Linked DNA regions of Coturnix japonica. The protein of the gene in region 3 purifies or fractionates together with the protein of the main gene of each other region. This does not show direct contact. Links are inferred from orthologs where the notes say so. Each region holds a gene or a part of one and is shown on either strand. Other genes may lie near its edges.

Evidence for each region.
Region 1: the proteins of ATF2 (region 3) and CEBPB purify together in Homo sapiens (affinity purification with western blotting; 3 studies listed by BioGRID and IntAct, with this or other methods). This does not show direct contact. The link is inferred for Coturnix japonica from reciprocal best matches to the Homo sapiens genes ATF2 and CEBPB.
Region 2: the proteins of ATF2 (region 3) and ATF1 purify together in Homo sapiens (affinity purification with mass spectrometry; 3 studies listed by BioGRID and IntAct, with this or other methods). This does not show direct contact. The link is inferred for Coturnix japonica from reciprocal best matches to the Homo sapiens genes ATF2 and ATF1.

The regions. Positions count from the first base shown.
Region 1 is NC_029535.1:12,271,751-12,275,937, forward strand, and holds CEBPB (CCAAT/enhancer-binding protein beta), read right to left. Parts: upstream 2,943-4,187; 5' UTR 2,564-2,942; coding exon 1,577-2,563; 3' UTR 569-1,576; downstream 1-568. UniProt on the Homo sapiens protein: Important transcription factor regulating the expression of genes involved in immune and inflammatory responses. Also plays a significant role in adipogenesis, as well as in the gluconeogenic pathway, liver regeneration, and hematopoiesis.
Region 2 is NC_029544.1:195,868-199,515, reverse strand, and holds part of ATF1 (cyclic AMP-dependent transcription factor ATF-1), read left to right. Parts: intron 1-1,118; coding exon 1,119-1,219; intron 1,220-2,221; coding exon 2,222-2,352; intron 2,353-2,952; coding exon 2,953-3,132; intron 3,133-3,224; coding exon 3,225-3,384; intron 3,385-3,648.
Region 3 is NC_029522.1:14,860,676-14,864,323, forward strand, and holds part of ATF2 (cyclic AMP-dependent transcription factor ATF-2), read left to right. Parts: intron 1-213; coding exon 214-332; intron 333-1,454; coding exon 1,455-1,583; intron 1,584-3,648. UniProt on the Homo sapiens protein: Transcriptional activator which regulates the transcription of various genes, including those involved in anti-apoptosis, cell growth, and DNA damage response.

The DNA.
Region 1 (4,187 bases), on a different chromosome or scaffold from region 3:
AAACACACTTTGCTAAAGGGAACACTGGGAATAAGTGACAGACTCAGGCTTTGTCCTGGAATCCTGCCCTGCCTGCAGCAAATTCAAACCCACTCTCTTGGTAAATAAAAACTCCTCTGGATTCAACTCAGCACAGACGATTAAGGAGTTCCTATTGTGGGGCACTGGGAATCTGGATTTTAAAATAGTGCTTCAAGTTGGCCTAACAGGAAAATGGAACATGCTGAGTAAGACCCAGTCCTTCTCTCAGCTCCGTGCACATAACCAGCCCGTGAGCTGCTCACAGAGCTCTGGTAGCAGCATGAAGGGCACGGCAGCAGCACATCTTTCCATCAGCAGGCAGAACAGAGCTCCAGCCTGATCTATAGTCTAACAGAGCCTGCCCCATCCTCACTTATCAGCTGCTTTCTCCCAGCTAACAGACACACAAACACCTCTCAACAGAGAAACTCCAGCTACAGGCTTGAGAAGAGCATCACAAGAGGAAAGTCAAGGGGTTGGTGATGTGCCTCTCACCTGGCGGCTTTCGCGAGAGCTTCCGGGCAGTGACCACATTACCGACATCCAATAGAGGCGCTACTTTCTCATGTTTATTCCTGTAAACTACAAACATAAGACACACTGAATCATAATTCAGAGAACAGGAACTCCTCGAAGAAAAAAGAATTAAGTGAAAGCTTCCTCCCTCACTTTTTCTTTCTCCCTCCCACTTGAGCCTTGCAGTTATTTCACCAGATTGGTCACGGTTTGGACAGCACACCTCGCTCTGCACAAATGGAACAGCAAAAAATGCAAAAAAAAAACCACCACCCCAAACAAACGCCTCTTCCCAGGCAGTACCCAAGTGGCAGCTCAAGCAAGTGATTAGAGGAACCAAACTGAGACAGCGAGGACTGGCTGGAGCCTCCAGCGCTGCTCTTTGCTGGTTTCTCTTGGGGTTTTTGTTTTTGTTTTTCTCTGAGTCGCAGAGAAAGCCAAAAGACCAACGCGAGTCCTATCCCTGCTGGCAGCGCCGAGCCAGATCCAGCTGGAATGTCAGCCCTGCGTTTCATCTGACTCAAAACGCACCCTCAAAATAAAACAAGCTACTTTTTTTAACCTAGTCATAAAGTTTATTAAAATCGTTCATTAATGCTTCAAATGTAGCAAGAATGCATAGATCCCAAAATATACATATGTATTTTCATATAGAAATAGATTATTCTTTATAATAAAAAAAAAAAACTGTAGGAACATCTTTAACAGATTACTCAATCCATGACTGACAGTTACACGAGATTGCATCATGTACACAGCATTCCCAGCCATGCTTAAAGGATTGCATCACTTCGCCCTCGCTCTCCTCTCGCCGTTTTAAATAACCCCAGCGCCCAGCAGAGCCCCGGGGCCGCGGCCCCCCCCGCGCCGCCCGCCGCCCCCTGGCCCCGGGGGGAGGAAGCAAATAGAGACCGAAACAACAACAAACAACAACAACAACAACGAAACCCCCGACGAAACCGAAAACGCGGCCCGGCCCCGGGAGGAGGATGTGGGGGGGGGGGCAGCGTTCAGCTCGCCCCGCGGCCCGGCGCGGGGGTCAGCAGCGGGGCGAGGAGGCGAGCAGGGGCTCGGGCAGCTGTTTGAACAAGTTCCTGAGGGTGCTCAGCTCCCGGGTGAGCTGCTCCACCTTCTTCTGCAGCCTCTCGTTCTCGGCCGTCAGCTCCAGCACCTTCTGCTGCGTCTCCAGGTTGCGCTGCTTGGCCTTGTCGCGGCTCTTGCGCACCGCGATGTTGTTGCGCTCCCGGCGCAGCTGGTACTCGTCGCTGTTCTTGTCCACGCACTTCTTGGGCTTGTTCTTGCCCGCCGGCGGCCCCGAGTAGCTCCCGGCGCCGGCGGCCGACTTGGAGGACTCGGAGGGGTTCGGGGTGCCGGGGGGGCTGGAGGAGGACGAGGTGGACAGGTTCCCGCTGCTGCCGCTCGGCACCGACTGGTAGCCCAGGTAGGAGCGCACGGTGCTGCCGTAGGGCGAGGACATGCCCCCCGGTCCCGGCCCCGCTCCCCCTTCTTCCTTACGGGGCCCTTTGCAAGAGTCCAGGGTCTCGAAGACCGGCTCCACTTTGGTCTCCACGATCTGGGGCGGGAAGCAGCCCGGCAGCCCCCCCGGCTTGTGGCTCTGGCTGCCGCACGGGTGGCCGTGCCGGGCGAGGCTGATGTAGGTGTAGTCGGGCTTCTTGCCGCCGCCGCTGCCTTTATAGTCCTCGGCGAAGAGATCGGAAAGGAAATCTTGGCCGCCGCTGCTGCAGGCAGGCTCAAAGTTGCCCCCTGCTGCTGCTGCGGGAGGCGGCGGCTGCGCCGGCTGCTGGGATGCTGCTAAGGGGTCCAGATACGGGCTGAAGTCGATGGCTCTCTCGTGGTCCCCTACGGTGAGCTCGGTCATGGAGCGGCCCCCGGCCGCCCGCGGGTGCAGCTTGTTGAGAGCAGCTAGACAGTCCGCCTCGTAATAGAAATTAGCCACTTCCATGGATTTAAAGGCGGGCGGCTGAATGGGGAGGCATGCTGCGTCCCAGGCCACCAGGCGTTGCATGAAAGCAAAGGGAGATGCGGGGAGGAGAAGACGGCGCGGAGGGCCCCCCCGGCACGGAATCGAGCGGCCGCCGTCGGGTGGGGGTCTCCCGAGCCCGGCGCTGGGCACGGCCCCGCTGCGCTGCCCGCCCGGGCGGCTCAGTCCGTGCGGCGCGGCGGGGCTCTCCCGCTCCCGGAGCTGCGGCTGGAGCTGGCGGTTCTCCTGCGGACCATCTGGTTGCGGGGCCCGTGTCCTCAAGTCTCTGACTTAGGAAAGTTCCTTCGCTCTGTTATTTATAGGGGCGGTGGATCCCATAGCAACAGGCGCGTCACCGCCTGGCCGCATGCCACGCTGCACGCTTCGGAGCTGCCGCTCCGGCCCCCGGGACGCCGCCGGCTGCGGGTGCGGGTGAGGTGCGGGCCCTGGGGCAGCTGTGCGGGAAAGGGACCGCACGGAGCCGCCGCCGCCAGCATCGGGGCGGCCGAGACCTCCCGTCCCGTCCCGTCCCGTCCCTGTCCCTCGGCTGCGGGGAAAGCGGGCACCGCTCGGTCCGGGACTCCGGTGCCGCCGCTGCTCTTTTGCCAGCGCGACGGGCCTTTCGCGTCTGAGAGCAAGGGCTGGCGCTGTGGGGCCGCGTGTGCCGCGCAGAATTGGGTGCAAAACCCGTCTGGGTCCCGTTTTACCCCTGGGGAAATCGAGGCAGAAGGCGTTTTTCCGAGCTCTTTTGCCAAAGCGGGGGAAAAAGCTGCAAATAGAAGACAGATCCTCTTATTCTCCGTCCAGCGCCTGACTGAGTGAACCGCACTGTCAGGCAGAACCGTCCCATTCAGACGCGGGCAGAACCATTTTACAAGAGCCGAGCGAGCGCAGTTTGGAGCGGGGCGCAGCCGGGGCCGCATCCTGACGGCAGCGAGCTCAGAGCCGAGCAGCCGCCGCGCTCCGCTCCCCATCTCTGCGTGCGGGGACCGTGACTGAAGTTTGCCTCAGTGTATTTACTTTGCACGATACCGTGCAACTGTCAGGGTACAAAGGCGACAGGGAATCCGCGGTCTGAAGCCAGAGGGGACCGTGTTTAAAGGCATTCCTTTAAACTCAGAGAGAGTGAGATACGTGCTCGGAACCGTGGAATCCGGGCACTGTCAGAATCGCGGGGTGAGTTTGGGAAGGAAGACGGAATCTCGATGTCCGTTTTAATTAAAGACACCCACCTTGGGAATCAAACTTTATTTTCACTCTCTTACTCCCACATTTACCTGTCTACAAGCTGGTGATTCATCCCCAGAATAAAGGACATTAATTTAAAACAAAACATATAATTAAAGGAAGTAGGAGTGTCCTTTGCCTCAGTAAAGAAGACCCAGCACTGCAGGGAAAATGACACTGCCTCTTAGAATAATGTGAAGCAATCCTGCGGTGTGGGAAATATGGTAACGTTAAGCCAGAGGAACAGGTATTGCATTATACGATTCAAACAGTCAACTGTTCATAATGTTCAAACCTCAAAACTTCGAAAAGAGGAAGAATTCAGAAATATGTCAGTGGATCACCAGACTTTGTCTTTCTTATATTTTTACGTTTACATTTCTTTTGCACATTTCAAGATGGTTTTGCTTTCCATAACAAAAGTACCCCAACAGGTTTTTGG
Region 2 (3,648 bases), on a different chromosome or scaffold from region 3:
TACTCACTCGCCATGTGATTTTTGCACAAGCCACTTCAGAGAGGTGCCCTGGGGAGCAGCAGCTGAGTCTGTTACAGCTCCATTCAGTTCTGGGCTGCAGAACCCTCTGGGCAGCGTGGCACTGAAGTTACACTGTGAAACGACTGCAGCAGTCCACCCAAGTGAGTGGAAGAGCTGTGCTGAAACACTCTTTGGTTACTCATCCTTTTAGCTGTGCTTATCTATTCATATGACATTCAACTGATTAACCATGAAAAGAAAGCCACTGACACTTCTTTAGCTACCACTGATGCTGTAACTGATAATGGAAAAGAAAACACTTTTCACCATGCTGAAAACAGCTCAGCACCTGATTGACTGGGTTGTCTGGAGCTTCTTTCCTGTTATAGCCTGTCTGCAGGGTCCCCACTGAAGGTACCCTTGTATTTTTGGGTCATTTGTGAGCACTGTGGCCTTGTTGCTGAGAGGGAAAAAAGTCACACATGAGCAACGTGGATTTTGTTGTTTTCTTTCCAGTGTTGGTAGTAGGTTGTGCTTTTTATCTCTGAGGCAGCAGCAGCAGTTAAATGAGGGAAGCTTTTCTCAGAGCTGTGTGTATTCTTGTTGGGGTTTTTTTGCTGGCACACAGATAAGTACAAATACATGTTTTGTTAGCTTCTATTTAATAAAGAGCTTCAAGGAAAGGAATAACACTTGGCAGCTGGCTGAGAGCACAGTGGGACAAGGCTGGAGATAATACTTTGCATATTTACTCCCTGATATGCTTCTGCTTAAATACCATTGTCACTTGGTTCTCAGCTTCTGGTCACCAAAACATACTGCTTGTCTGTCTGCAGAGAACATTTACTTCAAGTGTTTGTACATAAGTGGTGTTTCTGTTTCTCGGCCTTCAGATTATGGTGGGAGAATCTCTCAAGTTTTCTTTTTATAGGGAGTTTATAGGTTTGCATCCTTTGGTTTTACAGTGATGTAAAATTAGCACTGAGTCTAAAAATCCACCATTTTTTCTTTCTCTGTGTTATCAGCTGCATTTATGTCATACAGGACTAACATGTGTAATCTGTTCTGCACTTCTGTTGCGTAGCACACAGGGTAACCACATGGGATGTGTTTTTTAGGTGTCTTCTTTATCTGAGAGTGAGGATTCTCAGGACTCATCAGACAGCATAGGCTCTACTCAGAAAGCTCGGGGGATCTTAGCACGTCGTCCGTCGTATCGGTAAGTGCTGCACACACTTTATTTTGTGCTGTTTCTCGAACCCAAAAAGCAGCTTCTTCTGGCAGGTTCCTCTGTTCCGTCGACCCTTGCATTGTTTTCCTTCTCTTGAAACACGTGTTGGATCTACTCATGCACTGCTCAAATTGAGGATGCCATGTGAGCTGTCCTTTGCTGCAGGGAAACTTTGACTTAATGGACTGGAGGTTGACTTGGAGGTGATGCGGCCCAGGGAAAATTATTTATCAGCTCTGATTTCACTCCATGATGTCATAAATGCAGAGCATGAGTGAGCAGTCTCACCGTGTGCTGACAGAGCCAAAGGTCTTACTCTAAACTTTTCTGAAGTAACTTTCTGGTTATTTTTCCTTTCTCGTTTATTCAGACATTAGACAGAGCAAACTGGTTCTAACTGCATATTCAAGGTTTGTCCTTGAGAGAACAGGATCACGTTGCAACTCAGACAAATCCCTTCCTAGGCCAACTCTAAACCCCTGGAAAAATGTTTGTGGTGGAAACTGTGATGCAGGTCGTACTGAAATGAAATGATGCAGCTGCAGTACAAGACAGACTTCAGTACGAAGTGTTTCTGGCACACTGCAGGTTACTGAAATCTACTCTGGGTGATGCAGGTTCTCACTGCAGGTTTAACAGTCTGAGGATTTCAGGCTTTTAGAGGATAATTACTGAAAATGTGGGATTTGCACTGACCTGCACGTACAGATCTTTTATAAATCAGTAGCTGCCTTGAATTGCTGTTAACTCATGAAATGATTCAGATAATTAAATAAAAAACTTAGAATGTAAAAACTACAGAGATGTAATTACAGAAAGAGTTGGACCTCATGCAGAATTCTGGTAATCCTCAGACTCTTTCCTGTCAAAAAATTAGTGTTCATTTCTGCAATGCAAAATAGAAATAGCAGTTGTCAACTATTACTGCAGTAATTTGTGATCTTTGAATGCTGATACAGCTGATAAACCCTTTTTTTTTTTTTTTAATAGAAAAATTTTGAAAGATCTCTCTTCTGAAGATACACGGGATAGAAAAGGAGATGAGGAAAGTCCTGGGGTCTCTACTGTTACGTCCATGTCTGTTCCCACACCCATCTACCAGACGAGCACTGGACAGTACAGTATGTCGTACAAAATGTGTGCTTGCCTGCATAGATTTCTGCTAAACTTACAGTGAAATACAGACCTGTTTCTTATGCATTTGAGACTAAGATGAAATGCAGAAGTTTTGGTTATTTATCTAATAGTTAATAACATTAGCACAGTTTAGTATCTGAAAGTAGGCTGGTTACTAAAGGCTCACAATAAACTCTTTGTTATCTTAATTTTTTGCACATTCAGACAAGGTGTTCCAAAGATGTTTTTATGAAGCACATAACAGTCTGTTAGATTTAGTCCAAAAGGTGTGATCAGATACCAATGTATATCTGAGAGCTACACGAAAAGGCTCCTTGTGGGACACAGGAGAATGCCTGGAGGACCTCCTGTCCCCCGTGTTCATATGGTGGCCTTGATGTTCATATTGCTGTTTCTCACCTTTTTTTTTTGCTATTGGTCCCAGGGATGGGTTGATTAAAACCCTTCTGAAATCAGCAATGCTTTTCAGCAGTGGGTTGAGGTACAGATTTGCTGATTTGGAGAGATGTACATTGAGCAGCTTTATCTGTGTTTTATAATGTACAGTTACAGATATTTTTCTTGCATGTCCCTTTCTCTTTAAGTTGCCATTGCTGCAAATGGCTTGCAGCTGGCCAGTGCTGGTGCTGATGGAGTGCAAGGCCTGCAGACGTTAACCATGACGAATGCTGGCGGGACTCAGCCTGGGACAACAATCCTGCAGTATGCACAGACATCAGATGGCCAGCAGATACTCGTACCCAGCAACCAGGTGGTAGTGCAGAGTGAGTATGAGATTGGTTACAAGTACTGATCAGTAACACAAGTGTGTTTTGGTAACGCTGTTTTGACATGTTGTGCTGTGTGACTACTACAGCTGCATCAGGAGACATGCAGACGTACCAGATCCGCACCACGCCGACCACCACGTCCCTCCCTCAGACCGTGGTCATGACATCTCCTGTCACCCTGACATCACAGTCCAGTAAGACAGACGACCCGCAGCTGAAACGAGAGATAAGGCTGATGAAGAACAGGTATGTGAGTGCACTCGGGCTGCCTCGGTTGGTTCACTTAATGTGCTGAGATCACAGAATGTCAGGCATTGGGAGGGACCTCTAAAGATCATCTAGTCCACCCCCGTTGCTGGAGCCGAATCACCCAGATTAGGTCACACAGGAATGTGTCCAGGTTGGTTCTGAATGTCTCCAGACCCCACGACCTCCCTGGGCAGCCCATTCAGTGCTCTCTTACTTTTTTCTCGTGTTTTCATGGGACCTCCTGTTTTCCAGCTCGCACCC
Region 3 (3,648 bases):
TGAATAATTATCTGAATACATTCAGATAGTTTTTACTGTTCTTCAGGTAACCTGTATTATTTTTAGAGAAAGCTATGTATTCATGTAATTACAAATCAATATCTTGATATATTGGTGCTGTCTCCTTTGACTCTGAAAATTATTTACAATGCATCTGTTCTCACATGGTATTTTAAAAGTAAAATCATGTGCTTTGTGTAAACTTGATTTCAGATCAGACACCAACACCAACTCGATTCTTGAAGAACTGTGAAGAAGTGGGCTTATTCAATGAATTAGCAAGTCCTTTTGAAAATGAGTTTAAAAAGGCTTCTGAAGATGACATTAAGAAAGTAAGTGCATACGTGCTTTTGGTCCTGCCGTTCAATTGAGAAGTAAACTTGAATCTATATGTTGTCTTTTAAACTATACCCGTAGTCATTGACCAGCCACCAATGTATAGTCTTCTATGGAGAGAATACAAAGTTAAGATTACTTTTCAGAAGGTTTGTTTACCTGAGTTGGTGTGAGTAGAATGGACACTGGAACACACCCACTATTTACACAGTCTGTTTTGAGCATTTAATGCTCTTTTATGAGGGACTGTCCACAGGTTTAAATGTGCTTTCTCCTATTTCTTCTATAACTTTCTAGTCCTAACTAGTTTAGGGGCCCAAAAGTGTAAACACTTCTCCAAATGAAAATTTTTGTGTCCCCTTTGAATGATTTTTACCATTGGCTGATTATATGCTTTAACTTCCACAGACAGTGATGTTTAAAATTAAATGGACTGTTTTATACATATGTATAAGTTTTTACAGAGTCAGTGTCTGGTTATTCTCTGTGAAGATTTTAGTAGATACTTGTGATTAGGACTCATTCCTGTGCATTCTTGATGAAAACTCACCTTTGCTTTGTGCTCACAGCTGTGCCTAATCTTAGCTGGTGAATGGTAACTTTTCCTAAAATCATTTGCATGATAATACAAATTCTGCTTTTGATTCTGACTTGGTTGTCTGTGAAATTCACCACTTTCTTGGAGGAAGTTACAGTTATCACAGAGTACTGAAAACATTCCAACTACTTTTAAAATTGATGTTCCTTTTCCAAGCTGACAAGAAGAAACGCAATTGTGCCAGATGTCTTTGATAACATTGGATTGCATAGCCTTCAAGTGTAGTGCTGTCCTTCCTCAATTATAACTTTCCTGTGAATCTTGGGAAGGAACTTCATAAAAATTTTTACCTGCAGTGGGAATTCAAACAAAGTCTTAGTGAAAAGCTGTATTTATACAGATGTTGGAAAAAGGAGGCTTGACTGCTAACACATGTGCATCAAGACCTTCCGGATGTCAGCACTTCACTGTTATTATTATAATAAGGCTAATATTTCTCCTTAGTTACTTATATTTTCTTGAGATATTTTAATTTTTGTGTGTGTGTTGGTTTTTTTTTTGTCTACACTGTTACATCTAGATGCCTCTAGATCTGTCTCCTCTTGCAACACCAATTATAAGAAACAAAATTGAAGAACCTTCTGTTGTAGAGACAACTCATCAAGATAGTCCTTTACCTCATCCAGAATCTACTACCAATGATGAAAAGGTCAGGATTCCTTTTTCATTTTGGAATTCACTATCTGAATCTTCTGATGATCTTTGGGTTTCTTGTACACGTTGATACCCATGTTATGTAACTGTTTGAAAGTAAATGACTTCATTAACCACAACTCCTGGATACATACTTAATTTGTTCAATTCTTTAGTTAGCTTTGCTCAGCACAATTTTCTATTTGCCTCACCTTAATTATTCAGTAAAGCTACGAAGGAAGTCAAACTTAGTATTGCTGCTATGTTAAAAAAATTGTTAAAATTGGGCTCTTTATTCTTATTTTATGCATCATCAGGCAGTAATCACAAAAAAGCAAATGAAGTGTAGCTTGAGACTATCCATGTGTACATTTTTGTGTTTATCCTGTGTTTTCTCACCAATTTTTTTGTGCAGCAGCATGGGATGTTCTATAAAAATGTACAGGGGTTGGATGGACGGTCTTTCAAAATTAAGCAGGAAAACTTTGTTTAAAAATCCATGCTCTTTCAGCTACAACAGTATGTTTAAAAGCAGTGATCTGGAGCAATTGCTCATTTAATGTTTACCTGAGGGCTGGGTTTGTGAGTTACTGTCTGTCTCAAGAGAATGTTGTAACTTAATCTGTTTCAGAACTACTGCTCTGCTGGCAGTAGTAGGAAGAAATAGTTTAATAATAAGGTTGATACATAACTTGCAGTGTTTTCATCGTAAGAAATTCTCTTGGAGAGCACAGAATTGAGCAAAGTTAATGAAATGAATTAATTAATGAAGTAGGAATGAAAATAAAAATAATAGGAGCAGAGCTTAGTAAGCAACATGGCTGCTCTGGTCAGTTTTTCTATGTGCATCGTTAGTGGGTAGTCTGCATTTGAGGGACATGGATATCATATTTGCAAAAATGAGTAGACTTCTTTGGGATTACGAGGTAATTCATACTGAAAGGGACCGTAAGACATTTCTATTCCAGCTTCCTGCTCAAAGCAGGGATTAGATCTGAGACTAAGACCAAGAAACTCAGGGCTTTATGCAGTCCAACCTTGAAACTTCCAAGAAGGGAGAATGAACGGTTTCTTTGCTTAATGTGTTCCAATACCAGACTGTCCATGTGAAGGCCATGTTTTTCTTTGTATCCAGTTTACCATTTCCTCTTGCACCACTTCTCTTATCCTCCCAGCAGACGCTGTATGTGACAGAAAGTGTGAGGAGTTTCAGTAGAGAATTGTCTTCAGAAAGCTGTTCTGATTTTTGTAAATTAGCAAAGACGAGTAATAGTATGTTATTGAAGTGATCGTGTAGTCCAAAATAGTAAAACTGGTTTAAAAGAATACACGTAAAGAGCTTCTTTGATCAAGCATATCATAGTCTAAATCTTAAATCTTCTTTATTTCGTAGTTTGGAAAGGTTTGTTTTTGTCTGCAAATAATTATTCTAAGTGCTCAAGTTTTGGCAGGAGAAAATATTAATATCTTATTTTACAGTAGTGGTTCAGTATCATTAGCATCATTACAAGTGCAAATTGTATCTAAATGCCTGGCAGTGCTTATAAACTTATTCATTACGTAATTCAGTGTTGTCACTGTAGCAGTGCTGAAGTGAAAAGCTGCTGCAGCTTAATGTTGTTTTGATGTCTGATTGTAGAGACAAGCTGAGCAAGGATGAGGGTGCTGCTTGGAGTGTGCTGCTGCTGAATGTGGCCTGCAGAAGTTGAGAAATGTGAGCAGAGTGTTGCTGTTTTCTCAGTTAGATTTTTTTATACTCCTTCTGTAGGTGTGTTGAAGGAGGGAAGGTTTGTTTCTACTCTTCAGGGCAGAGCTGGTTTTAAAATTCTATATGCCACCGTAACCATCTCCTTGGCTGAATATGTTTTAGTAGTCTTAAATGGTCACAGCCTGTTAATGTACGTGTAAGAGGGTTCTCATTTTCTTTGTAGTTGTCAGAGCTATTTCTTAGACACTCTTGAAAATTGTGCTTCGTTCTATTTTTAGTACTGTGGGAGAGTTTTCTTAGTTCCATGAAGCTTCAGTAACAGTTGTTATTCTACGTAGAATAGACTAATATACCACTGCAAGTACCTAAAGCC